Anolis sagrei: one gene and its partner. The protein of the gene in region 1 purifies or fractionates together with the protein of each later gene. This does not show direct contact. Links are inferred from orthologs where the notes say so. Each region holds a gene or a part of one and is shown in the gene's direction. Other genes may lie near its edges.

What was found.
Region 2: the proteins of PEX5 (region 1) and PECR purify together in Homo sapiens (affinity purification with mass spectrometry; 3 studies listed by BioGRID, with this or other methods). This does not show direct contact. The link is inferred for Anolis sagrei from reciprocal best matches to the Homo sapiens genes PEX5 and PECR.

What each region holds. Positions count from the first base shown.
Region 1 is NC_090022.1:198,465,015-198,481,091, forward strand, and holds the start of PEX5 (peroxisomal biogenesis factor 5), read left to right. Parts: upstream 1-8,897; 5' UTR 8,898-9,082; intron 9,083-9,656; 5' UTR 9,657-9,692; coding exon 9,693-9,842; intron 9,843-14,512; coding exon 14,513-14,548; intron 14,549-15,602; coding exon 15,603-15,735; intron 15,736-15,923; coding exon 15,924-16,058; intron 16,059-16,077.
Region 2 is NC_090021.1:226,560,802-226,576,688, reverse strand, and holds the start of PECR (peroxisomal trans-2-enoyl-CoA reductase), read left to right. Parts: upstream 1-8,646; 5' UTR 8,647-8,723; coding exon 8,724-8,844; intron 8,845-12,404; exon of another isoform or gene 12,405-12,780; coding exon 12,781-12,914; exon of another isoform or gene 12,915-14,412; intron 14,413-15,887. UniProt on the Homo sapiens protein: Participates in chain elongation of fatty acids. Catalyzes the reduction of trans-2-enoyl-CoAs of varying chain lengths from 6:1 to 16:1, having maximum activity with 10:1 CoA. Has no 2,4-dienoyl-CoA reductase activity.

The sequences.
Region 1 (16,077 bases):
TACTGGTCAAAATAAAATTAGGAGATAGTTCCAAAAGATGAGGTTTCCAGATTGGAAGGGACTCAACAAGCTACTAGGGATGAGCAGAGAATAAATGTGAATAGTATTGTAGTTACTAATGCAATGGGACTCTAATCAAATTAACATTCAGCTACTGATATCCTTAGAGGTGAAAGGACAGCTAAAGAACACATATTATAGGAACATGAAATGTGAGAGACATAAATCAGGGGAAACCAAGCATTGTAAAAGATGAAATGGTGCACATAAATATTGCAGTACTTGGCATGGATTAGGTAAACTAGATAGGAATGGCACACTTTGAGTCAGATAACTGCAAAGTGTTTTATTCTATGAAGAAATACAGTGGCATTAATAATGAGAAGAGATGTAGCAAAAGCAGTCAAGGGATTTAATACAAAGCCTAAGGGCAAGCTGATCCATTTAATCATAACCAAAATAGACATGTTGTAATTATAAGTGACTGGAATGTAAAAGCAACTGTTCAATGACTTGTGTGCAAGGACAAGAATTACTGCCTCTCATCGCATAATAGTCACACCTCCGTTTTTAGGGATGACAAAATTGTATTTTTGTTTTCCTCACATAATAGTCGCACTTGCATTTGGGACTGATTCCCTCTTCCAAGTTTCTGGAACTTAGATCATCCTCCATCTTCCTTTCTCTAGGTTTTGTGAACTGCCTCACCTCAGAAGAAAAAGAGAAGATGGAGAAGAGAAGAATGGCGCTTCAGAGGCCTCCATTTTATAGTTTTTAAATTTCCTTGCATTCAGAGAAAGAAGGAAGGAATGGGAAAATCAGCTCCAAATGGTTCTGCAAACAAACAAACAAACAAACAAACAAACAGAAACAGACCGCTTTGTTTGAGTATGGATTATTCTTCCCTCCTCCCCTTTCAGAAATAAGGCATTAAAAAAACACAAGAAAACAGAGAATCAAAGACAGGATGTTTTTGTTGCATAATAGTCACATCCCCTTTTTTTGGTGAAAAAAGGAAGGGAAAGTGCTACCATTGTGCAATGAAACATACTGCTTTGAAATGCTCTAGTGAAAGATGGGATATAAATATTTATTTCTTTTTTCATGTTTAAATATTTATATCCTATAACAGGCCTTTTCGTCATGGCCCACACAAAAGGGGGCTGTCACTAGACTGGTGGTCCCGGGATTAGGGAGGCCCTGAATGGGGAACATTTTAAGAACTTTTATCTTTTTTTCTTTAGGGTGGGTCTTTATGGGAAGGGCTCTGCACTTCCACACCATCCAATCCCACAAGCCCCACACTTCCATGCCATCCAATCCCATAGAGTGCAGGGTCTATCTAAATCCATCCTACTTTGGGGCAGGTAAGAAGAAGCTGCGTCATCCTGGCCTTATCCTTCTTGGTTTCTCATCTTCCCTGTGTTTACACTAGGGTCAATCCAACTCCCCGACACAGAATTCAGTCCCAACTATGACTATGGGGAGGGGGAGGTACCCTTCTATGTCTGATCTGTGTTATTCCCAGAACATGCTGCTGGGTTAACAAATTGAGGTAGGACAGACTTAATCCTTCGATGTCCTTTGGATGACTTTGGAATCTGCCCTGCTATTGTCTACATGTGAATGATCTCGAAAAGGCTGAGGTATAGTTCCACATCATCTGGAGTTCCCTTTAGTCCTAGCCACTGCTGTAGAACATGAGAAAAATAAGAACATTGGATCACCTTTTCAGAAGATATAAAATCTAGTTGGTACTCTAAACCTTATCCTGGGTGGAACACACTGAGTCATTAATCTGTGGAAAACTTAAAGAATCTTCTTCCCTTGGTCCACCTTTATTGCATCCATCAAAAAGGGTCAAAATCCCCTGTGAAAACTTTTGAAACCATTTATTTCTTCCTCAGGCAAAAATTAACAGATGTTACACTTGCTTAATAAAAAAGAAGGCAAACTGGATATGATTAACTACAGGCAGGAGACAAATCCTTTGGAAACAAAGTCCTAACTTCAGGTGGTATACATACACTTTTGAGGAAAAAGAGGTGATAGGTTCCATCTGCACTGCTATATAATGCAGTTTCAGTCTGCATTATATGACAGTGTAGATGAGGCCATAGTTCTCACTCTGGAAACTGCAAAAAACTCCCCCCCCCCCAAAAAAAACAGAAACAAAAAAATCTTAATTTATTCAATATTCAAGAAATCACATTGGGATAACAAAATATGTGGGGGTTTTTTATTTTGGGAGGAGAGAAAGACCAGTCTACCTTGACAGGGATAAGAAGGGGGCAGATAGAGTCAACACTGAGTCATCCGGAATAAAGGGAAAAAATAATTTAACATGCGTCTATTCAGTTCAAATAGGGTAAGAAAAAAAAAGAAAGGGGTTCTACCTTTTCTTTTTCATTGTTCAGATACTATAAGTAGAAACATTTCTCTTCCACTTCTGCATATTGTTATTTTTATATACTGAGTTCAGCTCCTAGAAATGCTATTATAGTTCCTTTGACAGTCTTCCTCCTACCCGGTAATTGCAAGTTTTGGGCTATATTTATCTACCAGACTCAAAGAAAGGAAGGAAGCCCTTTCAGGCATGCCAAACCAAAAATTACTTTCTGCACAGGGCATACAGGTAAAGACAGCATATTGCAGAGCAGGGGTCCTCAAACTAAGGCCCGGGGGCCAAATACGGCCCTCCAAGGACATTTAACTGGCCCTCGCTCAGGGTCAGCCTAAGTCTTAAGCCACTTGAAAGCACGGGACAACAACAACAATCCAATCTCATCAGCCAAAAGCAGGCTCATACTTCCCATTGAAATACTAATAAGTTAAAATTGTTCTTCATTTTAATTATTGTATTGTTTTTTGCACTACAAAAAATATGTGCAGTGTGCATTGGAATTCATTCATATTTTTTTCCAAATTATAATCCGGGCCTCCAACAGTTTGAGGGACTGTGACCTGGCCCTTGGTGTAGAGGTTTGAGTGTGGGACTAAGGCTGTAGAAGCAGGATTCAATTTCTTGTTCAACCATGGAAATCATGGCCCCTCCTACACTGCCATATAATACAAAACAGGCTAATCCACATTATCTGCTTTGAACTGGATTATATGAGTCTACACTGCTATATATAATCCAGTTCAAAGCAGATAATCTGGGTTTTATATGGCATTTTAGATGGGGCTATAGTCTTGGGGAAAAGGCTTATAAGGTCTTGGTTGGTGGATCCTATCTGACCTCTAGTGGTGGCAAAAGACCAAAGCACTTTCACTGCGAGTGCGCAAGTGTGAACAGACAAATCTTTCACCCATTCCAAAGTGGTCCTTAAAACAACACTCCAGCTACTTTGATTGTGGATGGCACGGTGCCTACGTGGGACACAATTGCATACATACAGGATTCAAAATAAATTACAATAAAAATATTAACTACAAACAAAGAGAACCAATTAGCTCTAAAAAGAATGTCCAATTTATCAATGTGTCTTTCAGGCTATAGATATTTAGGAATAGTGTGAACAAATGACATAGCACACTGAAATATATTGTTATATTTTTAAAAGCTAAAAGACTGGTCAATCATTATTAGGCAGACTAGCTGTTGTCAAAGCTCACATTTTACTGTCATTTCTATTTCAAACTGCCCTTATGTTCATTCCACACAGCCCTATATCTCAGAATATCAAGACAGAAAATCTCACAATGTCTGCTTTGGACTGGGTTATCTGAGTCCACACCCTGATAATGTGGGATTTTTTTCCTTGACATTCTGGGATATAGGGCTGTGTGGAAAGGCCCTCAGAGGGGCATTACTGCTTTTCTTCTTGTCTGAAGACAAAAATGAGAAACTATCAAAGACCTTATAATATTTCTGGTATGTACATGGATGGAAATAGTAAAAGCATGGAGGGGGGGGGAGTTAGAGAATTTATCAATACAGAATTGGATACACAACTAAAGTTTCCAGGGTCAGATGAACTACATCCAAGGGTATTAAAAGAAGTAGTAGAAATAATTTTAGAAACAATAGCAATCATCTTTAAGAATTCTCGGAGAATAGGAGAGGTTTCAGCATATATTGTTCCTATCTCCAAAGAGGGGATAAAAGAGGACCCAAACAATTACTACCCAATCAGCCTGACATCAATGACAGGAAAGATTATGGAGCAGATAATTAAATAGACAATCTGCAAACATATAGGAAGCAATACCATATTCAGAAAAAGTCAGCATTGGGTTTCTCAAAAACAACTGATGCCAGATAGAGTTACAAGCTTGGTAGATGAAATGAATGCTGTAGATGTAGATTGATTTCAGCAAGTCCTTGGACAATGCTACAGAAGTGAATTGGGAATGGGTTAACTGGCAGAACCCAAAGGTGCTTACAAATGGCTCCTCTTCAGCCTGGAAAGAAGTGGCCAGTGGAGGTGCCACAGAAGTTTGTCCTGCGCCCAGTGCTAAAAAAGCAGAGCACGATTTTGCGGGCCCTGCCTGAGCAGAAGCCGGTGAAAAGCTAAAAGGAGGGTCAGCTATGCCTGGAGAGACAATAAGCACCAATAAAAGTTTCCGTATTTCCCAATAAATCTCACCAGGATGAAGCAAAGCCACTGAAGTTTATTTTCTATTCCAGCTGGAAAGGATGATGACTGCAGTATCATGCAAAGGAGCAGACATGACTCCTGAGCAGGGAATTACAGAATATAAACAGTTTTCCCAATTCAAATTTCCCACGCCCGCCCCTGAGCCAGCTTCGCTGTGATTGGTTGTTATGTCAGTGAGCCAGGAGGAGCGGCCAGCGACCGATGTGGCTCATCCAATCAGAGCCCAAGCCCCACTTCAGTCCATTCATAAAAAAGGAGGTTCATTCATAAAAAAAGGAACCCAATTCATAAAAATGATCAGATTGGCCTGATGCTAGCCTGGGTTTTAGGGGTGACACATGAGGAATTTCCGGGGTCTGCAAGCACCATCAGGCACCACTCGAGGCGACACACAAAAGAAAAATGGTACTGCTGTCATGCAGAACCATGGGACCATGAAAAGGTCCTAGGTTTCCACATGGGAATTTTGGATGAGAAAGATGGATCTGAGGGGTGTAGGGGTCCATTCAGCAGAAATTGAGATAGTAGTTAGACTTATAATTAATCAAGAAAGATGATAATGCTGGTCTGGGGCCGATCAGTTAAGTCACGGATACCGAAACCGGGGTGGGTCCCCGTATCCACGGTATAAAGGATCACCCCCCGGGACGCTGCTGGAGCGTCCCAGGCAAGCCAGCAGGGCTGCACGGCTCGGGAGAGGGAAAATTTATGGTTTAAGGCAGAGTTAGAGTAAGTAAAGGACACAATGTCTCAGGCAGGTAGCAGAAAGTTACTAAAAGGATACTTCTTTATTGGGGAATTGTTACAAAGAGGCCAAGGAAAAGGGAGGAAAAGGAGAATCTCTTGTTGTAGCTGTTGCTAGTGCCTCTGTCCTGCAGATACTTGGAAAACTCATACTCCCAGGAACTGTGGAACCCCCTGCTGTGGTCAGATTAATTTGAAGGCAGGGGTTTCTGTGTTAGATGACACTTTTCAACATCTTTATCAATGGCTTGGATGATGAGTCAACAGCGTGATGCAGCAGCTAAAACAGCCAATGTGAGTCTAGGTTGCATCAATAGGCACATTCCTAATAGCCTGGTCAAGATTGAGAGAAGTCAGAGTCCCACTCTATTCTGCTTTGGTCAAACTTCACCTGGAATGACCTACACCAGGCATGGGCAAACTTCAACTCCCACCATTCCTAGCAGTCTCAGGCCACTTCCTTTCCTACAGCAGGCGTGGGCAAGCTTCGGCCCTCCAGGTGATTTGGACTTCAATCAACTCCCACAATTCCTAATAGCCTGGTCTAGATTGAGAGAAGTCAGAGTCCCTCTCTATTCTGCTTTGGTCAAACTTCACCTGGAATAACCTGGGTCCACCGCAATATGATTTTATGATTGTCTCTGGCAGAGTGATAAAAACTCCAGGTAAAGGTGCTTAGTGCCCAGAATCAGGAGTTTTTCACCCTCAGGGCCCAGTCCACTCATGCACTGTAATTTCTTTGTACTGGAGCATGAAAGAGGCCTTGTTGTGCCAGTAAAACACGTGAACATGGAGAATGCAAGTGCATGGGAACAAGTCTTGACCTGCTGCACAGCACCTATGTGTGGGTGCTTGGCCCACCTGTCCTGGCATGCAGTGGAAAGGTATGGGGTGCCTTGGTGTGATATGGGAAGTCCTTGCCTGCTGGGTGCATGCATTAGCATCTCCTTATTTTTATCTGTGAAATGTTGTTGGGGAAAAGCTCATTACGTTGATGTGCCTGCTGTGGGGTTTGTTTGTTTGTTTGTTTTGCTCAGTTACAAGAACTTGCACCCACTGGTATCTTGTTGTATTTCTGGCTGGATTTGGTCTTTTCTCACTATCATATAATTCAGTTTGTGAATCCAGATTATTTTATTTGAACTGGATTATCTGGCAGCAGGCCCTTTCAGACAGACCCTATATGCCAGGATCTGATCCCAGGTTTTCTGTTTATCCTAGATTACCTGGCAGTGGGGGACTCATATAAACAGATCCTGGGATACAGGGCCTGTCTAGAAGGGCCCTGAGGATGGATCTATACTACCATATAATCCAGATTCTGAATCCGGATTATCTGTTTTGAACTGGATTATCTGGCAGTGTAGGCTCATATAATCCAGTTCAAAGTAGATAATCCAGATTCAGAAACTGGATTATGTGGCACTGTAGATGGGGCCTGACTTCAAAGGGAAGTAGCAGCCAATAATGAAAGGACCAAGGCAGTGACATCTCCGTCCCATCCTCTGTTCAGATATCAGCCAGCACGCCAATACCTTAAATCAATAAACAGCTTTCTAAGATCTACAGAGCTACTTGCAGAAAAACCTCACTAGGCGAAAGTCCAAAAGTGGCAGGCTAAAACCCGGAACCTCAATCCATGGCTGATACCGGATGAGAAACTTCCTCCTTTTCACACAGAAGACTGGGCGACTTGGAAGGTGCTGAACAGACTGCACTCTGAATCTGGATTATCTGTTTGAACCGGATTATCAGGCAGCATAGGCTTGTTGTTGTTAATTAATCTTTTATTAAAGGATAAAATAGGGGTACATTAAGGGGTTATTTCTCAACTTATTTAAAATGCACAATGAGTCAATAAGAATGAAGAACCACCACCACCAGTAAATTGTGAATTGTGGGAAAAGGGGGGGGGGGCGTAAAGAAAGTAGAGAAGAGAAAAAAGAAAGAAAGAAAAAAGAAAAGGTGAAAAATCTGAGAAAATAGAGGACTGTGCACAGTAATCTTCAATTTCCTCTGATGTAGTCCATTCAGGATATCTTGATATTCATATCTATTTCCCTCTGTCTCTCCTCATCGTATCTTCATTATATCTAACTTAATTTTAAAGAAGTTCTTAATTGCTGTCCAATCCGTCTTTCTTATCGTGGGTTTCAGGTTTTTCTTGAGTGCATTTGTTAGACTACCCATATTCATTATGTCGAGGATTTTTATTGTCCACTCTTCTAGTGTTGGGATCTTTTCGCTCTTCCATTTTTGGGCATTACTATTATATCATCATCATCATTATTATTATTACTATATTACTGACACAAAACACAGCATGTGACAGCAAATGAGATCTATATGCTGGATTTCTTATCATAAAAGCAAAAGGCGAACACTTCCCAAGCGTCTAGGACTGTGTGATGTATTTTCAAATGATGCGTGCAGATCCAAATAAGGTGGCCTTTTGCAGTTGACAGATCGTGATTTTGTCAATGTTTATTGTTTTCAAATGTCGGCTGAGATCTTTTGGCACGGCACCCAGTGTGCCAATGATCACTGGGACCACCTGTACTGGTTTATGCCAGAGCCTTTGAAGTTCGATTTTGAGGTCCTGATAACGGCTGAGTTTTTTCCTCTTGTTTTTCCTCAATGCGACTGTCACCCATTATGGCGACACCAATAATCTAAACTTTTTTATTTTCTATAATCATGATATCTGGAGCATTGTATTCCAAAACTTTGTCAACCCCACAGTATTTTGCATGTTCATTTTCCACTACCTTTGCAGGTTTATAATCCCACCGGTTCTTTACTACTGGCAGGTGGTACTTGTGACATTGCCAATCCATACTTTCTTTTTTAACACGAGTGTGAGTTCAGGAGTATTGCTCTCCAAAACTCTGTCAGTCTGAATTCGGAGTCCCAGAGGAGTTTGATGTGTTCATTCTCTGTAACTTTTTCCGGCTTATGATCCCACCAGTTCTTTGTCGCAGGCAGATGGTATTTGTGGCACAGGTTCCAATGAATCATCTGAGCAACGGTGTTATGCCTCTGCTTGTAGTCTATCTGCGCGATCTTCTTGCAGCAGCTGAGGACTTCCTTGCAGAGTCTACATTTGGGATCTGTTGTCGACTTTTCAATTCTGGCTTTGTTGGCATTGGTTCGAATGCCTCTAGAACATGGCCATATAGCCCGAAAAAACCCACAAGAACTGAGTGATTCCGGCCATGAAAGCCTTCGACAATACATTGGTTCGAATGGCTTGTTCTTGGGCTGCCAAAATCAGTCCCTCTGTCTCCTTTTTCCAAGTTCTATTTGTGAGCCATATCCATGTTTTTTCTTTGTCAATTTGGTTCTCAGTTTTTCCCAGGAACTGTCCATGGAGAGCCTGGGCCCGCTTCATGGTTCATGGTTCATCCCTCTCCTTCCAGGAGGCCTGGCTCTTTAAGGGCTGGCCCCGCCCCTTGCCTCTTTTGGCGAGTCTAGCCAGGTAGGCCTCACGGGGGCGGGGACAGAGAGCGAGAAGGAGGCGGGGCTTGCGCCTCGAGGGAGGGGCGGGCCCCCCGTGAGCCAGAAGGAGGGGCCTCGCGCAGTGGTCGCCAGTCCGGGCTTCGCGGCGGCTGGAGCAGAAGCAGAAGCAGGAGGGGCCGAGGCCTTGCAAGCTTGGCGAGTGGCTGTCTCCCCGGCGGTGCAGAAGAGAAGCTCCCGAGCCCGGAGATCAGGGCAAGGCAGAGGCTTGGAGAGAGGTATGGAGGGAGGCTGGGGAAGGCCCAATCCGCGGCCTGGCTTGCGCCTCTCGAGGGACCACTCCCTCCAGCGCGAGCCCCAGCCCCCTGGAGGAGCTGCATGCTTGGCAGAAGGGACTCAGTGCTTCCCAACCTGTGGGCCGCAGGGACCTATTGGACTTCATTTCCCACAATTCCTGGTCGTGGGCCGAGCTGGCAAGGGCTTCTGGGAGTTGAAGTCCCAAATACCTGGAGCGCCAAAGGTTGGGAATCTAGACCAGGCATGGGGAAGGTTGGACCCACTGAGTGTTTTGGACTTCAACTCCCACCATTCCTAGCAGCCTCAGGCCCCTTCCTTTCCCCCCTCAGCTGCTTAAGCGGCTGAGGAGGGAAAGGAAGGGGCCTGAGGCTGCTAGGAATGGTGGGAGTTGAAGTCCAAAACATTCAGTGGGTCCAACTTTTCCCATGCCTAGTCTAGATGGATATAGAGAGAGCTCAGCTTCCCACTGGGCCCCTCAAGGGAAACCCAGCCAAGCAGGTCACATGATCTGGCTGAGCAGACCCCGCAGTGCAGTTATGCCCCTTCCTCCAACAGGTGAGGAGGGTCTCCCTTTCTCCCCCGTCACTTGCCATGGCCATGAGGGAGCTGGTGGAGCCCGAGTGCGGGGGCTCCAACCCCCTGATGAAGCTGGCCAGCCACTTCACCCAGGACAAGGGCCTGCAGCAGGAAGGACTACGGGGCACCCTGCCATGGCCTTCTGGGCCACCCACAGCCGAGGTGGTAAGTAGAAGGAAGCTGTGGGGTTGTGAGAGGGTGTGGGGAGAGTGGTGTGGCTCAGACCATCCCAAGATTGAGGCTAATTAATAATAATAATAATAATAAGTAGTAGTCAAGGTGATCCCAGTGGTGATCGGCACACTGGGTGCAGTGCCTAAAGACCTTGGCCTGCACTTAAACACAATCAGCACTGACAAAATTACCATCTGTCAGCTGCAAAATGCCACCCTACTCGGATCTGTAGGCATTATTTGCCGATGCATCACATAGTCCTAGACACTTGGGAAGTGTCCAACATGTGATCCAATATAACAACCAGCATAATGATCTTGTTTGCTGTGTATTAATCTTGTTGTGTGTATTAATCTTGTTGTTGCCTTTGACTGTGTGGATCATAATAAATTGTGGCAAGTTCTTAGTGGGATGGGCATACCAAGCCACCTTGTCTCTCTCCTGAGGAATCTGTACAAGGACCAAGAAGCAACAGTAAGAACTGACCACGGAACAACAGACTGGTTCAAGATTGGGAAAGGCGTACGGCAAGGCTGCATCCTCTCACCCAACCTTTTTAACTTGTATGCAGAACACATCATGCGATGTGCGGGGCTTGATGAATGCAAAGCTGGGGTGAAAATTGCTGGAAGAAACATTAACAACCTCAGATATGCAGATGACACCACTCTGATGGCCGAAAGCGAGGAGGAGCTGAGGAGCCTTCTAATCAAGGTGAAAGAAGAAAGCGCAAAAGCTGGGTTGCAGCTAAACGTCAAAAAAACCAAGATTATGGCAACAAGAATGATTGACAACTGGAAAATAGAGGGAGAAACCGTGGAGGCCGTGACAGACTTTGTATTTCTAGGTGCAAAGATTACTGCAGATGCAGACTGTGGCCAGGAAATCAGAAGACGCTTACTTCTTGGGAGGAGAGCAATGTCCAGTCTCGATAAAATAGTAAAGAGTAGAGACATCAGACTGGCAACAAAGATCCGCCTAGTCAAAGCCATGGTATTCCCTGTAGTCACCTACGGATGTGAGAGCTGGACCTTAGGGAAGGCTGAGCGAAGGAAGATCGATGCTTTTGAGCTGTGGTGCTGGAGGAAAGTGCTGAGAGTGCCTTGGACTGCGAGAAGATCCAACCAGTCCATCCTCCAGGAAATAAAGCCCGACTGCTCACTGGAGGGAAAGATACTAGAGACAAAGTTGAAGTACTTTGGCCACATCATGAGGAGACAGGAAAGCCTAGAAAAGACAATTATGCTGGGGAAAGTGGAAGGCAAAAGGAAGAGGGGCCGACCAAGGGCAAGATGGATGGATGGCATCCTTGAAGTGACTGGACTGACCTTGAAGGAGCTGGGGGTGGTGACGACCGACAGGGAGCTCTGGCGTGGGCTGGTCCATGAGGTCACGAAGAGTCGGAGACGACTGAACGAATGAACAACAACAACAAATCTTGTTGTGTTTCAAATAATAATAATCATCATCATCATCTTTATTTATACCCTGCCACCATCTCCCCAAAGGGGACTCGGAGTGGCTTACATGAGGCCAGGCCCAGTGATACATTACAGCAACATAAAATATAAACAACAAAATAACATCACAATAAAATAAATAAACCAATAAAGTAAAATAAACAGTACAAAGTAACATAATGGAAAATAAAACACAGTGGGTGGGCCAAAGGTACAACATAAAATGATAGTACACTGGATGAGAATGATGATGATGATGAACATGGAAAAATACTGTGGGACTTTTGAATCCAGACTGACTAAGTTTTGGAACACAATACACCAGACATCACAATTGTGGAAAAGAAAAAAGTTTGGATTATTGATGTCGCCATACCAGGTGACAGCCGAATTCATGAAAAACAACTGGAAAAACCCAGCCGTTATCAGGACCTCAAAATCGAACTGAAAGGCTTTGGTATAAACCAGTACAGGTGGTCCCAGTGGTAATTGGCATACTGAGTGCCATGCCAAAAGATCTCAGCTGGCATTTAGAAATATAAACATTCACAAAATCATCTTACTTGGATCGGCGCGCATCATTCAAAAATACATCACACAGTCCTAGATGCTTGGGAAGTGTTCGACTTGTGGTTTTGTGATATGAAATCTAGCATATAGATCTCATTTGCTATGACGTACTGTGTTTTTGGGTCAGTAAAATAATAATAATAATAATAATAATAATAATAATAATATTTCTCACCTGCCTCTTCTCATGGCTGGAGGTGGGTTACAAAACAATTGTTTGTTTTAGTATGTATTTCATAGAGATACGTTTTGTATGTAACTTTTATGGAGGTACGTTTTAGTGTGTATATTTGTAGTGTTTTTGTTGTGTTTATGTATTTTAATTGTTTTTTAACCTGCCACGAGGAGAGGCAGGTAATAAATGAAATAATCATAATTAGTTATTATTACATGGTTCTTAAAATTCCATTGATTTATTCTCTGCCTCTCTGAGGCCACCACATTCTCCAGATAAATGGAAAATGGATAGTCGACTTTTGATTTCAGGAGCTGGTCTGCTGATAGTAAGAGATTAATCATAGGTGATCACTTTCGGCCGAGTATGAATGTCTTCTCACTATATAACATGATTTTTGTTCCTGGGTTATAAATGTCATTTCCTAATTGGTTCTATCATAAACATATGGGGGGAAAAACTTAGTAAACTGCAAAAACTTTGCTCTTGTGGGACATTCTGCTATATCACATTTTGCTATTGTTTTCCAATGAATATCTCAACCAATTCAACATAGTTTGTGGCAGCCACCAAAACAAAGTGTATAAGAGTATAACAACTACTTTCAACATTAAGTACCATACAATTAAACAGGAAATAACACTTTCAAACCAGGAACAGCAAAATTTTCAAATTATGTTACATAGTGTGATAATTTACTTTAATTATACCCTGCCTTTCTCCCCGAGGGAACTCAAGGAGGCTAACAGTCATACATTTTGATCCATTTGAAACAAAGCAAATACATTTTTTTTAAAAAAAACCCAGTATTTTTCGTGTTAAATTCAAAATACAGTTAAAATACAACAAAATGTTTGGTTTTTTAAATATCACATCCCCCAGAAATCCAACCCACAACCTTCCCAGCAACATGCCCCTTCTAGAGGTAGAGTCTTGGCCGTGGATCAGTGAAGACCTATTCTGGATCTGCATGGTATTTCACATAGATTTCTAGATAGCAGGTGGTCCCAACATGGGTTTGCTTGACATGCCTTCCTCTTGTCATGTTTCACCCTTTCACTCTCTCTTTGTACCTCTTCAAAATCCATAGAACTGTTGGTAAGAGCTGACCTCCAGTTGCAATGCTTGAGAACCCCGGCTTTTTAGTTCTCTGTATTTATACCACATTTTTAAAGGTTAGCTTTAAGCCCGTTTTTAAATCTCTCTTGTCTGCAAACATTGGTGAGAGACCAAGCCACAAAGGGCTTAATTTACTTCTGGAAGGAAATGAACAGGAGTCTATTTTAACATCCCACTCTAACTTGCCCCATGCATTGTCCAAAATTGGCTGAAAATCACAAGTGTCTCTGAAGTAGCTCCCTAAGCAAGCCCATCACTTTGGAGGTGGAATGGAAATGGGGGAGTGTCCTCCAGATGCACTGTACTTTGGAAATAAAGTTTAGATGGGCAGTGGAGTGTATCTGTCTGATGGGATCCTCACTAATGTTGGAATCCAAGCCCACCCTGTCCAAATCTCAAGTCCTCAACAAGGATCAGTTAGTTTAGGATAGGCTAAGGGAATTCCCTTCACCCAAGTCTCCTATATGACAGTTGGGGGTGTATCTTTTTCATCTCCTCTCTTTCTACTCTCATTCTGATTGGTTATTTATGAATACTTGTCTACTGCAAGCCTTTTTTTAATTTTCTGCCTTCTTACACTTTAGTATGGAGAATATAATATGTATTGTGTGCTTTGAGATCTCTCTCTGCTTGTGTGTCAGGAGAGATGTAATGATTGAGTTTTTTCCCCTTTTTCCCCTTAGGAGAGATGGGTGTTAGAGTAGCTCAGATTCAGTTCTTCACCATGAAGAAATGTAGTTAGTTCTTTATTATTGTAAATGACTTTTATTGTAAATGATTTGTGATTTTTTAAAAGATCGGATTCTGCGTGTTTGCTTCGTAAGCTCTGAAATCTTTGCGGCCACATCACATGGCACTGCATGTTCTGCTCGCCTTTGGGCTGATTGCTCAACTATTGGTATCCAGTTTGATTTTTGGATGCTCTGCTTTATTTTAGGGTAGCTTTCCCTAACAACTAGACCCAAAAGTCGTTGTTGGTGTTCTGCCAAATATACATTAATGTCCTGATAGCTTTGCCACTATTTTCTGAGGAAATGAGCCTGAGAAGGCCTACCTGAGTTGTTCATTTAAGGGCATTAAATTCTTCTCAGGAAGATTTAAGAACCAGTTATATGGGAATCCTAATGGTTTTGCAAGAGTCTTTCTAAACACAGAGATCACTGAGATTGCAACAGTTTTTGTTACAAGTAAGTTTGTTGAGCTCTACCTGGGATGATGTGCAAATATTGTCTCATCTGTTGTAGGAAAAGAGGGGTCCTGTAAAATTTGGAATGTGCCACCTCTCAAATGTTTCTTTTTTTATGAGTTCTCGGATAACATTCCCTTTTCTTCTGTAGATATCTAAACCTCTTGGAAGAGCCTCAGAAGACGAAGTAAGAACTTCAATGATTTTTTTCTCTTTCCTTCTCGTTCTGTTGTGTGCTCTGTGTTTTTTAGAGGGGTGGCTTTGTTAGCTATTGCTGTAAAAACAAAGACTTGTGAGTTTATATTGACTACAGTTTGCTTAATCCTCACAAGATTAGACAGTCATTCTCCCATTGTGGTAGGGGCTAGGGCCACAAGATCATAGCAAATGTGGGAAAGCCCAAATAGCCCCTCCCCTGTTCTTTCTGGGACACGAGGGGCCCAAACCATGCTGCTCTGCCCTGCTCCCTCCCCCAGCCTGCTAACTGGGCCACAGTAGTTGCCACAGCTCCACGGCCTCTTTGCAGCGTGGCTGCCATCTCAACCTCACAGGCCTCAGCCAGTAGATTCTAGGAGGAAAAGCAAGCCCTATGCATTGACATTGCTACCAGTCCACAGCCTACTGCTTCCAGGGGAAAACAAAACCAAATAAGAGAGCCAGAAGCATTTTTTCCTGTTTTTCCTGGAATGAAGCAGGTGGCCATACAAAACATACCAATAAATCCTCTAAGCCAAAACCCTTGTTTCTCTCCCCCCTTCCCCCCCAGCAAGACTTGAAAAACAAATGGGAGAGAGGCTTGGCTTAGAGGATTTATTGCTGTATTTTGCAGTGCCACCTGCTTCATCCCAGCAAAACAGGGGAAATTGCTACTGGCCCCTTTTCTTGTTTTTCTGCCCCCGTCATGGCCCAGTTAGCAGGTGAGGGGTGTGTGTGTATGAGGGAGGCAGGCTCCAGCTCTACTGCTGCCCTACATTTTTAATAAGAACATATGAGCCTCATTACATGTTCACGGACTACCTCACTCTTACCAGACTTGCAGTCCATATGTAGGGCGGCAGCAGAGGTGGCACCAAATAACCCATAAATAAGCAAAGTGACAAAAAGTGAAATCCGCAAAAGTGGAGGGCCAACTATACCATAACAAATGAATTAGTCTTGGAGTTGCCAACACCCTTAAACTATTCTGCAGTATTTACATACACTCTATTTGTACCCCCCTCCCCCCGAATGCTTTTTGGTAGCTGGTGGCAGAGTTCCTTCAAGAGCAAAATGGCCCCCTGCTGTCTCGTGCACCACAAACATTCAAGATGGATGATCTGTTGGCTGAGATGCAAGAAATCGAGCAATCCAGTTTTCGGCAAGCCCCACAGAGAGGTAAATATTACACAGGGGATGAGAGCATGTGATGATGGCATCCATTCCTGTCCAGAGGAAGGATTTCTCTGGGAATTGGAAGGAAAGTTAGTGAATTTAGGAAACAGCGTAAGGTGGGGAATCTTGTGTACTGGTACTACTCTTGCTAAAGTTTGAACACCCATGTTAACTTGTTCTCTGTCCCTCAGCTCCAGGGGTTGCAGCCCTGGCTCTCTCTGAAAACTGGTCACAAGAGTTCCTTAATGCTGCCGACAGTGTGGTTGATGTTTCTACGGATTATAACGAAGCTGACTGGTCCCAGGAGTTCATTGCTGAAGTTGCAGGTGAGGCAAGATTTTGAGG
Region 2 (15,887 bases), on another chromosome or scaffold:
GCCAGAATGCCTCCAACATAGAAAAGCATCTTTACAGAACTGGCTCACCCATAGAATTAGCACTCAGAATGATGAAGACCTAGTTTTCCTAGCTGAGATTAGTGCTTTCCCTGGGATTAAAGAACTGAATTTATATAGTCCATTTGAGATATGTAGGGCATCCTAGGGAAACAAATGGTGCTTTATATGGCTGTGTCATAGCAACATGACAGGCGAGGAATCAACAAAGCCTAATGGAATATGGCATTTAAAAAAGCAAGCAGAGGGGACAGAATGATGGTTGCTGAACACAAGAAATGTGAGAGCAATCAACCCTGGAAACAAACCTGGTGAGTTAGACACTGTCACCACTCCTTCCTGTGTATTTATTTGTGCACTGACAAATCTAATATGCTTCACCCTGTGCAGCACTAGTTTCTGCACAGGCATAAGCCACACCCAAAGCACAGCTATGCTTTTAATCCGCTTCAATTTTAAATAAGCTAAGGCTCTTGTGGCCTTTCTCATGCAGTGTGCAATTGGAAGTGGCAAATCTTATCCATTGAAAATATCATTTTCTGTTCCAGAAAAAGGATGATCATAATCAACATCTCCAATATGAATTCTCTCCCTATTCTACTTTTATAGACTATGCATGTTATTACAAACACAGCCATATCAGAAAGGTCATAAAGAATGATAATCCGTACCTAAAGAGAGATTGACTATTCCTTTTGAAGGCAACGGCTGATGCCATACAAAAAAAAAGGAAGCATAAGCTAAACAAAAGCATTGTTTTCTGCTAAAGTTCTACAGCTGTCTTCCTAGAGAGTAAATCCTACTGATTCTGAATAGACAAGTATAGAATTTTGCTGTCAGAAAGCATTTTATATTAGATGACTTGTGGATGATTCGGACTAGTTGTCAACTGAACTAGATTCCAGTAGGGTGATGCTTATGGGAATGAGACTGAAGATAGGAAGCTACAAATCAGCTTGGATAGCAAAGTATACACAGTCCTTGAGTTACATACATCTGACTTATGAATTACTCCTAGTTAAGAATGGGGGTGAGACAACAGGAAGTGAGAGAAATCCACCCCTGAAAGAGTTATCACAAGGAAAGTTGTATCAATTGAAGATTTATTAGTAATACTTTTTTCCACAACGAGCCATTTTTTTTTCAAAATCCAATTACAAGGACAGAAAGTGAGGTGAAATCTTCTGATCAGGGGCACAGACACCAAAACGAACACCACAGGGATGTTAATCCTTCCCTATGCCATCCAAAGCTAAATACGAGAGTTACCCGGAAAGTAAGATTGCATTTTTTTAAAAATACAAAGAATGAATATATTTTAATAAAACTTACATGGATTGTAGCAGAGGTATTACATTATTTTCCACATAATCACAATTTAGTTCAATACATTTTGTCATCCGTGAGATGAATTTTTGTTGACTGAGTCATAGAAGTTTCCCTCCATCTTTTTCAGCCAGTTCGTCACTTCAATTTCCACCTCCTCGTTGTCAGAAAAGTGTTTTCCACCAAGATGTTCCTTCAATTTAGTGAATAGATGATAGTGACTGGGTGCAAGATTGGGGCTGTGAGATGGGTGGTTTAAAACATCCCAACCAAATGAAGTCAACAACTCTTGTGTTGTATGAGCGGTGTGTGGACGTGCATTGTCATGAAGGAGACAAACTGTCGTACAATCTCACGACATTGTTTTGGATGGCTTAGAGAAGTTTCTTCATGGTCTCACAATATATTCCATACCCAATTTGTCACATGTTATCTTGACATTACGTCCTTTCCATAAACTGATACAATTTTGCAATGAATCGCAGCAGTGTGTTCATACCCTTAGCATTTAGGTAGCATACTGCAGCACAAACTTTGCACTTGGAGGGAAATGGAATGAGGACGCTCATCTCTAACCTTCACCACAACACCAGTTGATGAGCTACTGATGGCTGACACTGTTAGTTCGCTTTCGTTGGCTTCCCGCTACACAGCAGTGGTACCAACTTACCCTGCAAAAATTCCCCACTAGAGCTATGTGTCTTCTAATCATACTTTCTAGATAACCTTTGTACATGCATTTTAAAAATGTACCTGTTCTGACTTACATACAAATTCAACTAAAGAACAAACCTACAGAACCTATCTTGTTTGTAACTTGGGGACTGCCAAGACTAAATTGGCTCAATTTCATTGATTCTAGGGAGACTAACAGCACTTGATAAAGCATTATTTAATTCAAAAGATACTTCCAAGACTAACAGTATTTCTATTCCAGAACAGTAGTCTTAAAACTGTACTGAGACTATGAGTCTGGAGAAGAAGGTCTGAATTACCCATTATTTATTTATTTATTTATTTGGAGTGCTTCTACCCCGCCCTTCTCAACCCCCTAGGGGGGACTCAGGGCGGCTTACAAAAGGCACAATTCTATGCCCAACAGTTCACTTAATACAATATACAAAATACAATATAACAACAACTAGTTAAAACAATCAAATTAATACAATAGCAGCAATAAATAAATAATTTGGGCATGAAAATCCACTGTAGCACTCTTTCAGCCTGAAAATCCACTGTAGCACTCTTTTAGCCTAGTAAAGGTAGAAATTTCCCCTTGACATTAAGTCTAGCCATGCCCGACTCTAGGGGGTGGTGCTCATCTCCATTTCTGAGCAGAAGAGCCAGTGTTGTCCATAGACACTTCCTAGGTCATGTGGCCAGCATGATTGCATGGAGCACTGTTACTTTCCTGCCGAAGTGGTACCTATTGATCTACGTGTTAAAATCATATGCAGTCTTTAGAAGGAATATAGAGTAAACATACAAATAGAAAACATATCAATTTATTTTTCAAGTTGCTCAGTCTTCTAAAGACAAATTGTGGCTATACAAAGGAAACACTGCATAAAGAGCAAGTATATGACCACCAAGATTTGTCACACTGCTCCAGAACTGAAGTTTGAGCTTGTGGATTGAGACTGATTTGTATATACTATCAACCCAAAGATGTGATGACGCTTATGGTGAAATACACATTTTTAAAATTCCCGTTTGTTAAAGGAATAATGATTTGAGCACAGTGTGACAACAAATTTCCTTGAACAGATACTAATATCTGGGGAGCATTAGCCTCCAAATAACTATGGAATCATAGAGCTGTGTTGGACTGCAAGGGCCATCTAAGCCAGTGGTTTTGGACTTGTGGGTCCCCAGGTGTTTTGGCCTCCAACTCCCAGAAATCCCAGCCAGTTTATCAGCTGTTAGGATTTCTGGGAGTTGAAGGCTAAAACATCTGGGGACCCACAGGTTGGGAACTACTGCTAGGCCAAAGATCTGTAATGCAAGAATTCAGAGCTAGATCACTCCCGAGGGATAGTCATCACCCTTCTCCTTAAAAATCTTCCAGAAAGGAGACTTCACCTTCCGACATAGTCTCTCCAACTGTCAAACACCTCTTGCCATCAAAGGCTCTTCCTAATGTTTAGGGCAAATCTCTTTTCTTCCCATTTGAACCCAAGGCTCTGTGCTCTAGCCTTTGAAGCAGCAGATAACGTCTTCTAAATGACATCCTTTTGTATATTGAAAAATAACTATTTTATCACCACTCAATCTTATTTTCTCCAAGTTAAACATAGTCAGCTTCATAAGCCATTTCTCAAAAGGCTTGGTTTGAGATCATTTACCATGTTGATTCTCCTCCTTTGGACACTACTTTGGCAATATCCTTGAACCGGACCCAGAATTTTGCATAGCATTACAGCTGGAGTTTGAGAAAGAACAGAAAAGCACCGCTACTTCCCTCGTTCCATTGATACAGGCCGGAACTGGACAAAAGTATGATAGCTGGGACCCAATGCTACGCTAGTTGTGTAACGCAGCTCTGAATTAAGGAAGGGAAGAGGTGTGTGAGACACTGGAGCGAGTAAGAGACACAGCTGTGTCAGAGTCCTGGGAACATTGCTCGCCACAAAGGGGGAGAGGAAACATTTCTACCCCGTTTACCATCTTCGTAAGCCATTGTTTATCATTTAACAGTAAATAACCTCTAACATCACTTGCCTTAAGCATTATGCTTGGCTGTTTGTTGCCCCCCCCCCTTTCTGTCTTCCCCCCTTTCTAACCCGCTTTGCTCACGTCTTCCCTTCATTAATTCTGCCCCGCGTTGTGCAACCAGCGTAGGCTCCCAACTACTAGAGTAGGGCCCCAGCTATCATACTTTTCCCCAGAACTGCACGGGCTTTTTTTTTTGCTTGCTGCATCACACTTCTGATTCATGTTTAGCCTGCAGTCTACTGGGAGCATTTACTATTTCAAATTACTCATCCAATATTTGTACATTTCACTTATCCTGCCTAAATATAGCACCTTATGTTTATCCTGCTCCAATCTGTCGAGTTGGAATACTGATTCTGTCCTTTGGGATGTGAACAACTCTGCCTATTTTTGTGCCATATGTGAATGTGTAATACACATTTGTTTAATCACACAAGGGTGCACCTACACGGGAGAATTAATGCAGTTTAACGGCATGTCTCAGTGCTATGGAATCCTGAGTTTTGTAGTTTGACAAGGCCCTGGGACTCTTTGGCAGGGAAGGCAAAAAAATGTTGTAAAACTACAACTCCCATGATTCAACAGCATGGAGCCATGGCAGTTAAAGTGGTGTCAAACTACATTAATTTTATATTGCAGATGCACTCCAAATCAGTTATAAAGATGTTGAACAACACTGGACAGGGATTTGAAATATTCCATTAGTTATTTTTCTTTTTAATGGAGGGAAAGGTAAATGTTTTCCCCTGACATTAAGTCCAGTTGTGTCCGACTCTGGGGGTTGGTGCTCATCTCCATTTCTAAGCCGAAGAACCGCTGTTGTCCATAGACACCTCCTAGGTCATGTGGCCAGCATGACTGCATCGAACACTGTTACCTTCCCGCCGGAGCGGTACCTATTGATCTACTCACATTTGCATGTTTTCGAATTGCTAGGTTGGCAGAAGCTGGGGATAACAGCAGGAGCTCACGCCGCTCCCCAGGTTTGAACCTTTACATCAGCAAGTTCAGCAGCTCAGCAGTTTTACCCATTGTGCCGCCGGGAGCTCCTTTTAATGGAGAGATCAGGCTAAAACAACTTATTCATAAACATATTGACATGCTGAGTTAGCATGCCACTGATCAATTGTCCTGGGCCAGTGTACCATTGGGGTGTTATGGCCGACTCATATTAGATATATCCAAATTCAATGACTGCATATCTTGGGGAACACACACACAACCAACTGTTTTCTACTACAGCTGGCATTATTTCCTTTTTGATATTTTAATATCATGCTCCTACATTTATGCATTCCAGTTATATCCCATTTTCTATCAAGTTCAGAAGGCAACATACCTTATAACATGATTTTACAAATTACAACAAAAATACAAGAAATGCAATATAAATTAAATTCATTGTGATATTAAACCATTCATCAAAACATCAGAGCAACACATAAGCAGTAAAATACTTAAAGAATTAAAATAATCACTGTCAATTCACAAGAAATCATATTATAGTCAACAAAGCTTACTCTCAGATAAGTAAATAGCAGTGCAGAGCCAGGAATTACTACTGAGATATGAGTCCCATAGAATTCAATGGAGGGATTTATCTTCAGCTAGACATGTATATAAGTATGACCTCATAGGCTGGTCCTAAGATGAGGCAGACATTTTAGGGAACACAGATTAAATTGCATAAATAAATCCTGGGATTTGGTGTTTGGTGAGGCAACAGCACTCTTTAGCTTTGTAAAGCTAAAACTCCCATGATTTTATAGCAGAAATGGGCAAACTGCGGCCCTCCAGGTGTTTTGGACTTCAACTCCCACAATTCCTAACAGCCAGTAGGAGGGCCGAAGTTTTCTCATGCCTGCCCTATAGCATTGAGCCATAGCAATTAAAAGTGGTGTCAAACTGCATTCATTTGCCAGTGCAGATGGACTCCTGGTTTGCTTCTGCACCTGGAATGGTGCAGCAACATGCTTTCAATGCCCTCCCACCTTCCGCAAAAAATGACACATTCTCTACTCTTGATACTCAAGAGTATCTCAAAAAACCAGGATGCAACACACAGGGAAGTTCCAAGCCCAGAAGGGCATCTGTTGTTAGTTCCCTCTTACAAAATGATCCAACCTAATTGCGGTAAATTCAATTTACTTAATTGACAGCAATTGACTTAAGGAGGAGGAGCTCCACAGCTCAGGCACAAGAGGGCATCCCTGGCTCAAACCTCACCTGCAGCCACATCCCGCCCACCACACTCCTCATTACAACTCCACACCATGTAAGCGGAGTAAAAGGTGGGGCCATATGACTCTCCCTTTACTTGCAAGGTACTCCTCAAAGGCAATGCACAGAAGCATGGGTGGGAAGGGACTGCAAGGGCCATAGAGCTCAGTATCCTGTCATACAGGAACACACAACTAAAGCACTCCTGAGAGATGCTCAGGGCCCTTCCACACAGCCATATAACCCAGGATATCAAGGCAGATAAATCAACAATATCTGCTTTTGAACTGGATGGTTTTAGCCCACACAGCCATACAATCTAGTTCAATGTGGATTGTATTCAGGTGTGTGGAAGGGGCCAACCTCAGTTTAAAGAACATGTTTAGAAAGGGGAGGAGGGGGAGATAAGAATTACCTCTTCTTTAAGATATTGAGGAAGGAGGTTGAAGAATTAATAAATTGGCCAAAGGATTTCATCCAGAAGGAAGAAAATAGAGATTCCTCCAAGGAAGATTCTCTCTGCTCATTCACACTGTAAATCCCATTTACAATGGGTGTGTGTGTGTTGAAGAATTATTCGGAATGTTCAGAGAGGAAAGGTTAAGAATTAATTATTCTTTAAGGTGTTTATAAAGGGAAGATTCACAATTAGTTTTTCTTTAAGGTATTTAGTAAAGAGGACAGGGGCTGAAGGATTAACTAATGTTGGGTTAGTTTTCAGTTCTTGGTGTTATTTACTTATTGTTCATTTGGCTTGTTTTGTTTTTATTATGGCATTAAATGTTTGGAAACTGCCCTGAGTCCCCTCAGGGAGATAGCGCTGGTTATAAATAAAATTATAACGATGCCCCATGCAGTCATGCTGGCCACATGACCTTGGAGATGTCTACGGACAATGCCGGCTCTTCGGCTTAGAAATGGAGATGAGCACCACTCTGTAGAGTCGGACACTTCTAGACTTAATGTCAAAGGGAAACCTTTACCTTTACACATCTATGGCAAGGCATCCACAGAGATTGTGAGGTCTGTTGGAAACTAAGCAAGTAAGATTTATATATCTGTGAAATAATGTCCAGTGTGAGAGAAGGAACTCTTGTTTGTTGGGGGCAAGTGTTACAATTGGCCACCCCAATTAGAACTGAATGACCTTGCAACTTCAAAGCCTGGTTGATTCCTGCCTGGGGGAATGCTTTGTTGGGAGGTGTTAGCTAGTATAAATACCATTTAGAAGAAGGGGGTGTAAAAGAATGAATTCATTTACCCCCAAAAATGTTCAATCTCAAGTGAATAGACTCTCCAACTCAGACCTTTTCTACTCTGCACATGGACATAGGCCAATCAATGCAGTACAAATCCCATTTACAAAGGAGGAGAGAGACCCACCTTGATTAGCACCAAATGGCCTTGCAGCTTCAAAGCCTGGCTGCTTCCTGCCTGGGAGGAATCCTTTGTTGGGAGGTGTTAGCTACTATAAATCCCATTTACAGGAAGGGGGTATTTAAAGAATGAATTCATTTACCCCCAAAAATGTTCAACTTCAAGTGGGTAGACTCTCCAACTCAGACCTTTTCTCCTCTGCACATGGACACAGGCCAATCAATGCAGAGCAAATCCCATTTACAAAGGAGGAGAAAGAGAGAGACGCACCTTGATTAGCACTGAATGGCCTTGCAGCTTCAAAGACTGGCTGCTTCCTGCCTGGGGGGGATCCTTTGTTGGGAGGCATTAGCTACTATAAATCCCATTTACAGGAAGGGGGGCTGTTTGAAGAATGAATGAATTTGCCCAATAAAATGTTCAACCCCAAGTGGGTAGACTCTCCAAGTGAGATCTTTTCTCCTCTGCACTTGGACACAGGCCAATCAATGCTGTACAAATCCCATTTACAAAGGAGAGAGAGAGAGAGAGGCACATCTGGTGTGTGCCCCCCCCCCCCCGCCTTGCTTTGACATACAAAGAGTGCAAAGAGGAAGAGCTAGAAGAGAGAGCGTGGAAATGGAAACTCCAGTGGAAGGGCCCAAGGGGGGGGGGGGGCTTACCTGCTCCTCCTGCAAAGGTCCTTCCTCCTCTTTCTCCTCGCAGGAACAATGCAGCCCAGGAAGGGGCTCCTTCTCTCTCTCTGTCTCTGTCTCTGTCTCCGTCTGCCTGAGAAAGAGCAGCCCCCACTCCTGGTCCTCCTCCGCCCCTGAGTGACTCCCATTGGGTACCAGCTGCAAGGCGACCCCCGCCCCTTCTCTCTCTCATTGCAACGCATTGGGTGGGCGTGGCTTCATGGAGGCCACGCCCCTTCTGGAAGGATTCCTACGAGGAGGGGCGTGGCTTACTCGAGGCCGCGCCCCCTTCGGGAATGGATTCCTAAAAGGAGGGAGGGAAAAGAGGCGGGCCGTCACGTGACTCTGCTTCAAGCCCGCTTTGGAGTTTTTTGGGCTATTGGAGGATTCGTCATGGCTTGCGGTGGAGGGAGCAGCGTCTTGGCGGCGGGCTTACTTCGCAACCATGTGGCCATCGTGACTGGAGGAGGCACCGGCATCGGGAAGGCCATCACCTCAGACCTCTTGCAACTCGGTGGGCAGATCAGGAAGGGGCGCTGCGGGGCCAATTCTCCGCCAGGCCCGGGCCAACTTCGGCCCTCCCTCCAGGTGTTTTGGACTCCAACTCCCACAACTCCCTCCAGGTGTTTTGGACTCCAACTCCCCGGCTGTTAGGAATTGTGGGAGTTGGAGTCCAAAACACCTGGAGGGAGGGCCGAAGTTGGCCCAGGCCTGATATACACGGGTGCAGTTTGACACCACTTCCACTGCCATGGCAGCCAAACTGGTGCCATATTTTTGGGTCTGAATGTCTCCTGTGGTTTGGACTGGAGAACAAGCCCTATGAGGAGCGGTTTAAAGAGTTGGGCATGTTTAGCTTGTAGAAGAGAAAGCTGAGAAGAGACATGATGTGAAAATATGTGAGGGGAAATCATAGGGAGGAAGGAGCAGGTTTCAATGGCATCAAACTACAATGTTCCACCTGAACATTAGGAAGTACTTCCTGACTGTGAGAGCTGTTCAGCAGTGGAACTCTCCGCCTCAGAGTGTGGTGGAGGCTCCTTCTTTGGAGGCTTTTAAACTGGATGGCCATCTGTCGGGGGTGCTTTGAATGCGAGTCCTGCTTCTTGGCAGAATGGGGTTGGACTGGATGGCCCACGAGGTCTCTTCCAACTCTATGATTCTGGTGTGCAGGATTCAAGTCCTGATTGGCTGTGGTAATCCCTTGGGTGAGTCACAATCTCTCAGCCCTGTGACAAGTTTGCCACTGGGCCGCTCTGAGTTAGAAGCAGCTTGAAGGCGAACGCATTGATAAAATACAAGAGACCCGCTTTGGGTGGGAAATCAGACGGGTGTCACTCCTACCATATTTAATGGCATGAGTCTTTACATTTTATAGGATTTGCACATACTGGGAGCCCCCGATGGCACAGCGAGTTAAACCACTGAACTTGCTGACTGAAAGGTCGGCAGTTTGAATCTGGGGAACAGGGTGAGCTCCCACCGTTAGCCCCAGCTTCTGCCAACCTAGCAGTTCGAAAACATGCAAATGTGAGTAGATCAATAGGTACCTCTCGAGCGGGAAGGTAATGGCACTCCATGCAGTCATGCCAGCCACAAGACCTTGGAGGTGTCTACGGACAATGCTGGGTCTTTGGCTTAGAAATTGAGATGAGCATCACCACCCCCCGCCAAGTCGGACACAACTAGACTTAATGTCAAGGGGGAACCTTTTCTTTTTCACATACTGAGATGGGGTGTCAAGAGGAAACTTTTTGCAGAAAACGTTCTGTATAGACAAAAGCCGTGGGTTGCATTTAGTGAAAGAAGAAGGTGTTGTTTTGGCAATACTGTCATATGAGAGGCTGAAGACATGTGGGTGCAAACCAGGGATTGCAAAGAAGGCTAATTTGCATAAAAGGTGTGGGTGTGGGTGTGTGTAATGATAGCTTTCAGAGTAACTGGGGTCCCTTAGACACAGCTTAATAAAATCCCTCGTTTTCTGCTGTGAACAGGAATCTATGGTAGTTCAAAGAAATATTGTGGGATTTTCTGCCTTGATATTCTGGGTTGTATAGCTGAATGGAAGGCCCCTGAGAGAAAACGTTAACCAGTGGTTCTCAACCTAGGGTCCCCAGATGTTTTTGGCCTACAACTCCCAGAAATCCTAACAGCTGATAAACTGGCTGAGATTTCTGGGAGTTGTAGGCCAAAAACATCTAGAGACCCCAGGTTGAGAACCACTGGGTTAGCCCCATCGCCACTGCCATATAATGCAGTTTTGTTTTGCAATTTGTGAAGGCCCTCATTCCCACTCTTCCCAATGTAAAATCCAGTGAGCTTTCACCAGGGTTTGAATCATGACCTTTGACCATTAACACCTACTATACGTGTATGCATGTGTGTGTGTTTTCAGGTCACCTGTCAATTTATGGCAACCTTGTGGATTTCATAATATTCTCTTAGACAAGGAAGACTCAGAGGTGGTTTTCCATTTTCTTTCTGTGAAATATATTCTACCGCACTGCTAAACTGTGGGTCCTGGCAATTTACCCCCAACAATTTTAGCCTGATTTTAGAAATTTAAATCTTTTAAGGATTTAATATGTTAGTAATTATGTGGATTACATTATGTCTTGTTCACTTGTGCTGGTTTATAATTTATTGAGTTGTTCTTGATTTGTTTATTGATTTGCTTATATATTACTGTCAGCATTGAATGTTTACCATTGTGTATTTTGTAGTGAGCTTCCCTGAGTCCCTTTGGGGAAATAGGACAGACTATAAATAAATTTGTATTCTTTCATTCATTCAAATGGGGTCCCCAGAGCTCAATGTTGGACTAACAGTTAATATTCTGAATATAGCCTAGATATCTACAAGAATCCGTTAGCACAACATGCAGTGTTTATAGTGTAGAAAAGGTTTCAGCTGTTCAGACCATCCCCGAATTACAAACATCTGACTTGCAAACAACTCATAACTAAAAAAAAGGGTGAGATTACAGGAAATCAGAGAAATCTACACCTAGGAAAGGAAATTCACTCCGGAAAACATTATCATGGGGGAAAGGTGTCTCTACTGAAGCTTTCTCGCCAATTCTTGTTTCCACAATATTTGTTTTTCAAAATTCAATTATCACAAGAACAGAAACTGCGGTGAAATCTTCTGAACAGAGGCACAAATAGCAAAAGAATGACCACAGGGTTGTTAACCCTTCCCTATGCTATCCACAGCTAAACTCTCTCTGTGTGAGAGAGAGACAGAGACAGACACTTAAAAATGTGCCTGTTCCGACTTACAAACCTACAGAGCCTATCTTGTTCATAACTTGGGCGCTGCCTGTATTTTACAAAAATGAAATGCAGCCTGTTTAGCAAGGCTTGTAATTGCTGTTTTATTTCCAGGAAGTGTTTGATTTTATATCTATTTTATATACCTATAAATATCCAGGATGACATAAACATTTCTCAGGCAGAAAGGGGTTGTGAGAGGGAAAAGTTTAAGAAGTCCTAATCTATAGCACCTGGTCTCCCAACCAAGTACTTGCCAGGACTAACCCTGCTTAGCTTCCAAAAGCTGGTGGACACTTTCCATCCGAAACATTAGGCTGGCATGGGGGAAGGCTAGTGGAGAACATGACAATTGCAAAATACGAGCATTCTGGAAATGTTTGCTGCAAAGCAAAGACAAATAGTGTTCTTATTTGAAAGCTGCATTTAAAACTTCCTCAACAAGTGTATTGGTGGCCCTTGATATCCACAGATCCCGTATCCATGTATTCAACCATCCAGAGTTTGAAAATATTAACAAAAATTCCCAAAAGCCAGCCTTGATTTTTGACATTTTATATAAGGACACAATTTTACTACATCCTTATATGTATATAATGGGACCTGAGCATCCATTGATTTTAGTATCTATGTGGTATCCTGGAACCAAACTCCAGCAGATACCAAGGACTTGGGGTACATGGTAGATTATTTCCTACATAGTGGGATATTGAAATAATGTTTGAATTCTACTTTGTTGGCTAGTTATTACTCATTTGCACTGTCACTCAGTTGAGATTTGCCCTTACAATGTAGGCCACCTACAACATTGCTGAATCTGTAGGCAGGTCAATTTTTACAAGTTGTGAGGCAACTCTATTGCTCAAACTGCAAAATATGTTTATCTATCCCATGTTTCTCTGAAGTAGCTTATTAAACTGGTTCCTCAAGTTGCTGTAATGGAAAGTGAACATGGAGAAACCTCAGATCTACCTTGGATCTAAAGTGCTCTTGTGGTTACAGAAGCCTTTTGATCTGATCCAGCCATGTTTGCGATTTTCCAAAGTTGCTGAGAGTGTTTGAAGTTTTGGAAAACGATAATGGAGGCTTATCTCAATCTGCATGCTATCCGTTATCCTACCCAAAGCATCATTCAACTGCTACTAATGCCCAATATTCATCTGGTTTTGTCTTAACAGGTTGCAATGTAGTCATAGCCTCTCGCAAACTTGACAGATTAAAAGCCGCAGCAAAAGAGTTGGCTGCCAAAATTCCATCCTCAAACCCTGCCCAGGTGACTCCTTTACAGTGCAACATTCGCAAAGAAGAAGAGGTAAATAACATGTTTGCTTTTGGGACTCAGTGGCTTACAGTAAAACCAATACAATACAGGGGGTTGCTGTGAGTTTTCCAGGCTGTATGGCCATGTTCCAGAAGCATTTTCTCCTGATGTTTTGCCCACATCTATGGCAGGCATCCTCAGAGGTGGTGAGGTCTTTTGGAAACTAGGCAAGTGAAGTTTATATATCTGTGGAATGTCTAGAGTGGGAGAAAGAATTCTTCTCTGTTGTTGCAAATGGCCAGCTTGATTAGCATTGAATGGCCTTGCAGCTTCAAAGACTGGCTGATTGCTATCTGGGGGAATCCTTTGTTGGGAGGTGTTAGCTGGCCCTGATTGTTTCATTTCAGGAATTCCCCTGTAGTTTAGGTGTTCCTCTTTATTTACTGTCCAGATTTTAGAGGTTTTTTTAAATACTGGTAGCCACATTTTGTTCATTTTCATGGTTTTCTCCTTTCTGTTGAAATTGTCCACATGCTTGTGGATTTCAATGGCTTCTCTGTGTAGTCTGACATGGTAGTTGTTAGAGTGGTCCAGCATTTCTGTTTTCTGTGTCCAGGTAGGGCATCGGGTGCTCTTCTATGGCTGACTTCTCAGGTTGAATATTCTGCAGTGTCTTTCGTGTTCCTTGATTGATGTTTGGGCATTGCTGTGTTTGGTGGTTTCTATGTAGACTTGTCCACAGCTGCATGGTATATGGTAGACTTGTGAAGAAGTGAGAGGATCCGTCTTGTCCTTTGCTGAATGTAGCTTTTGTTGGATTTTCTTAGTAGGTCTGTAGATTGTTTGTAGATTGTGTTTCAAATTGTATTGTATCAATACAATTTGAAACCTAAAAATGTACAAATTTTAAAATAGAATTAAATATTAATTGTATTATAAGTGGTCACATCCAATTAAAAACCTATTCATAGCTATATTACTGTAGCTTTGGTTATGCAATCAGTTGTATAATGGAAAAGTTACACATTCATCTATATGAAGTAAATATCAGGGCCTGTATTTCAGAGGAATGAGCTGGCAAAACCACCTCTCAATATTTTTTTGTCTAAGAAAGTACAATGAAACTCATAGTGTCACCATAAATCATCTTGAAGGCATAAACATACATGTATTAACTCATACCTCTTTTTTAATTAAAAAACCATTTAAAAGAGCAGCTTCAATAAGTGACTTTGACTTATGTTTGGTTATGTTTTAACCATTGTGTGACAAGTAACTTTTACGATTTTACAAAACTTGTTGGGGCTTAGCAGCAAGATGCTGGAGATTCTGCCTTGGAGGATGTGGGGAATGATGTATTTTTTACTGAGTCTGGGTGTGATCAGGCTGAAACGCAGACAGGAATGCAGGCTGTAGATGAGAGAGCAGGGCCAACAGCTGCAAAAGAGATAGAGGATATTTGAGATTCCCTTTCTCTTGAGAATCAGCCTTCTCGGCTTTCTTGGCCTGCAGAGGATGCAGAGTTGGCCAGTGATATGAGCTTAGGCCTCTGCAGGGAGAGAGCAAAATAAAGGTTAAATAGAAGGGCAGAAAGACTTCATGAGAAACAGTCCTGGAAACCTAGGTGCTGAAGGGATGACCACATGGCATCTTGTTTGGGTTTGAGCTTAAATTGGGTGGTATTTTCCTGGTCTCTTTGGAGTAGACAACTCTGCATTCATATCAAGCTAATGTTTAGCTCTCGTTTGCCTTTGTCCCTGGAATAGTTTTGTCTTGGAAAAGTTCCTGTTTTCATGCCTATGTTCCTGACTTCATGAATTTAATGTACCTTGCTATCTTGGACTATTGATCTTGTAATTTTGGACTATGGCTATTTCACAGAACCTTTTCCACTGCTTTTTGGGAAATGCTCATTTTCCCTTTTGTATATGCTTTTTGTAAATTGCTGTAATTAACTCATACTGAACTCTGTGGTGCTGGGTGAAAAGGTGTTCTTTCCTGGGCTAGAGTGCAACAAAACTGAAGTAAGACATGTTTTTGTTCTTTATTAGATGAAGACAGTGGACTGACTTGCATAATGTTCAGCCACAGTTCAGTACTATACGGCTAAGTTCCATTCTTTACACTTCTGCTGACATGTGTCCAGAGGACTCTGGCAAGCTTCAGCTTGGCTTTTCACAAGAGATGGGTTGCTCCTACATATAAACCAGAAATGTAGTTTAAAATAATCCCTACTTCACAGCAAGCCAAGCAACATGTTGTTTCAAGTTGGTGGTTTTAGCTGACCAGTATTTACTTTAAAGCAATATCAGAAAGAGAAAACTACTCATTCAAAAATTTTCTAGCAACAAAAAAAGAAGATAATAAATGACACACATATATGTTTTAGAATCAAACTACATAAATTCAGTCAACTGAAAAATCTGTCTATTGTTATATATAAATGATCCATATAATTCTGAATACATAAATATTTGGTGCAATCAACATCTTGTACAGATGATGTTCAAACAGGCATGATTCTTAACAATTTATTTATTTTGTGTCAAAAGCATTGCACAAATAAATATAAAACTGATAAAAATAGAGGGAGCACTAGTGGCTCACCCAGCGCTGCCCCTTCTTCTTTTTGCCATGGCTGCGTGACACCTTCCCCCCAGTTTGCCATTTGGAAACACAGGAGAGGTCACATGAAAGGCACCCTGCGGCTATGGCAGAAATTTATTTATTTATTTATTTCTATCCCGCCCTTCTCCCCATAAAGGGGACTCAAGGCGGCCTCACATAAGCATCAATGATGCTATCAACATATACAATAAAAATTTAAATTAAAACCGTAAAACTCAATTTAAAGAAACAAACTGACAGTGCTGGGTGAGCAAGGCCCACCTCGAAAAATGTCTCCCACCCCTGCCGGGCCCAGCCTGAGGGCTGCAAAGCTCCCTTCACGTCGGTGCCCAGGTAAGAGAAGGCGAAGTCTGACGAACGGCGCCTGCATGGAGCAGCCACATGCCCACCTCACCA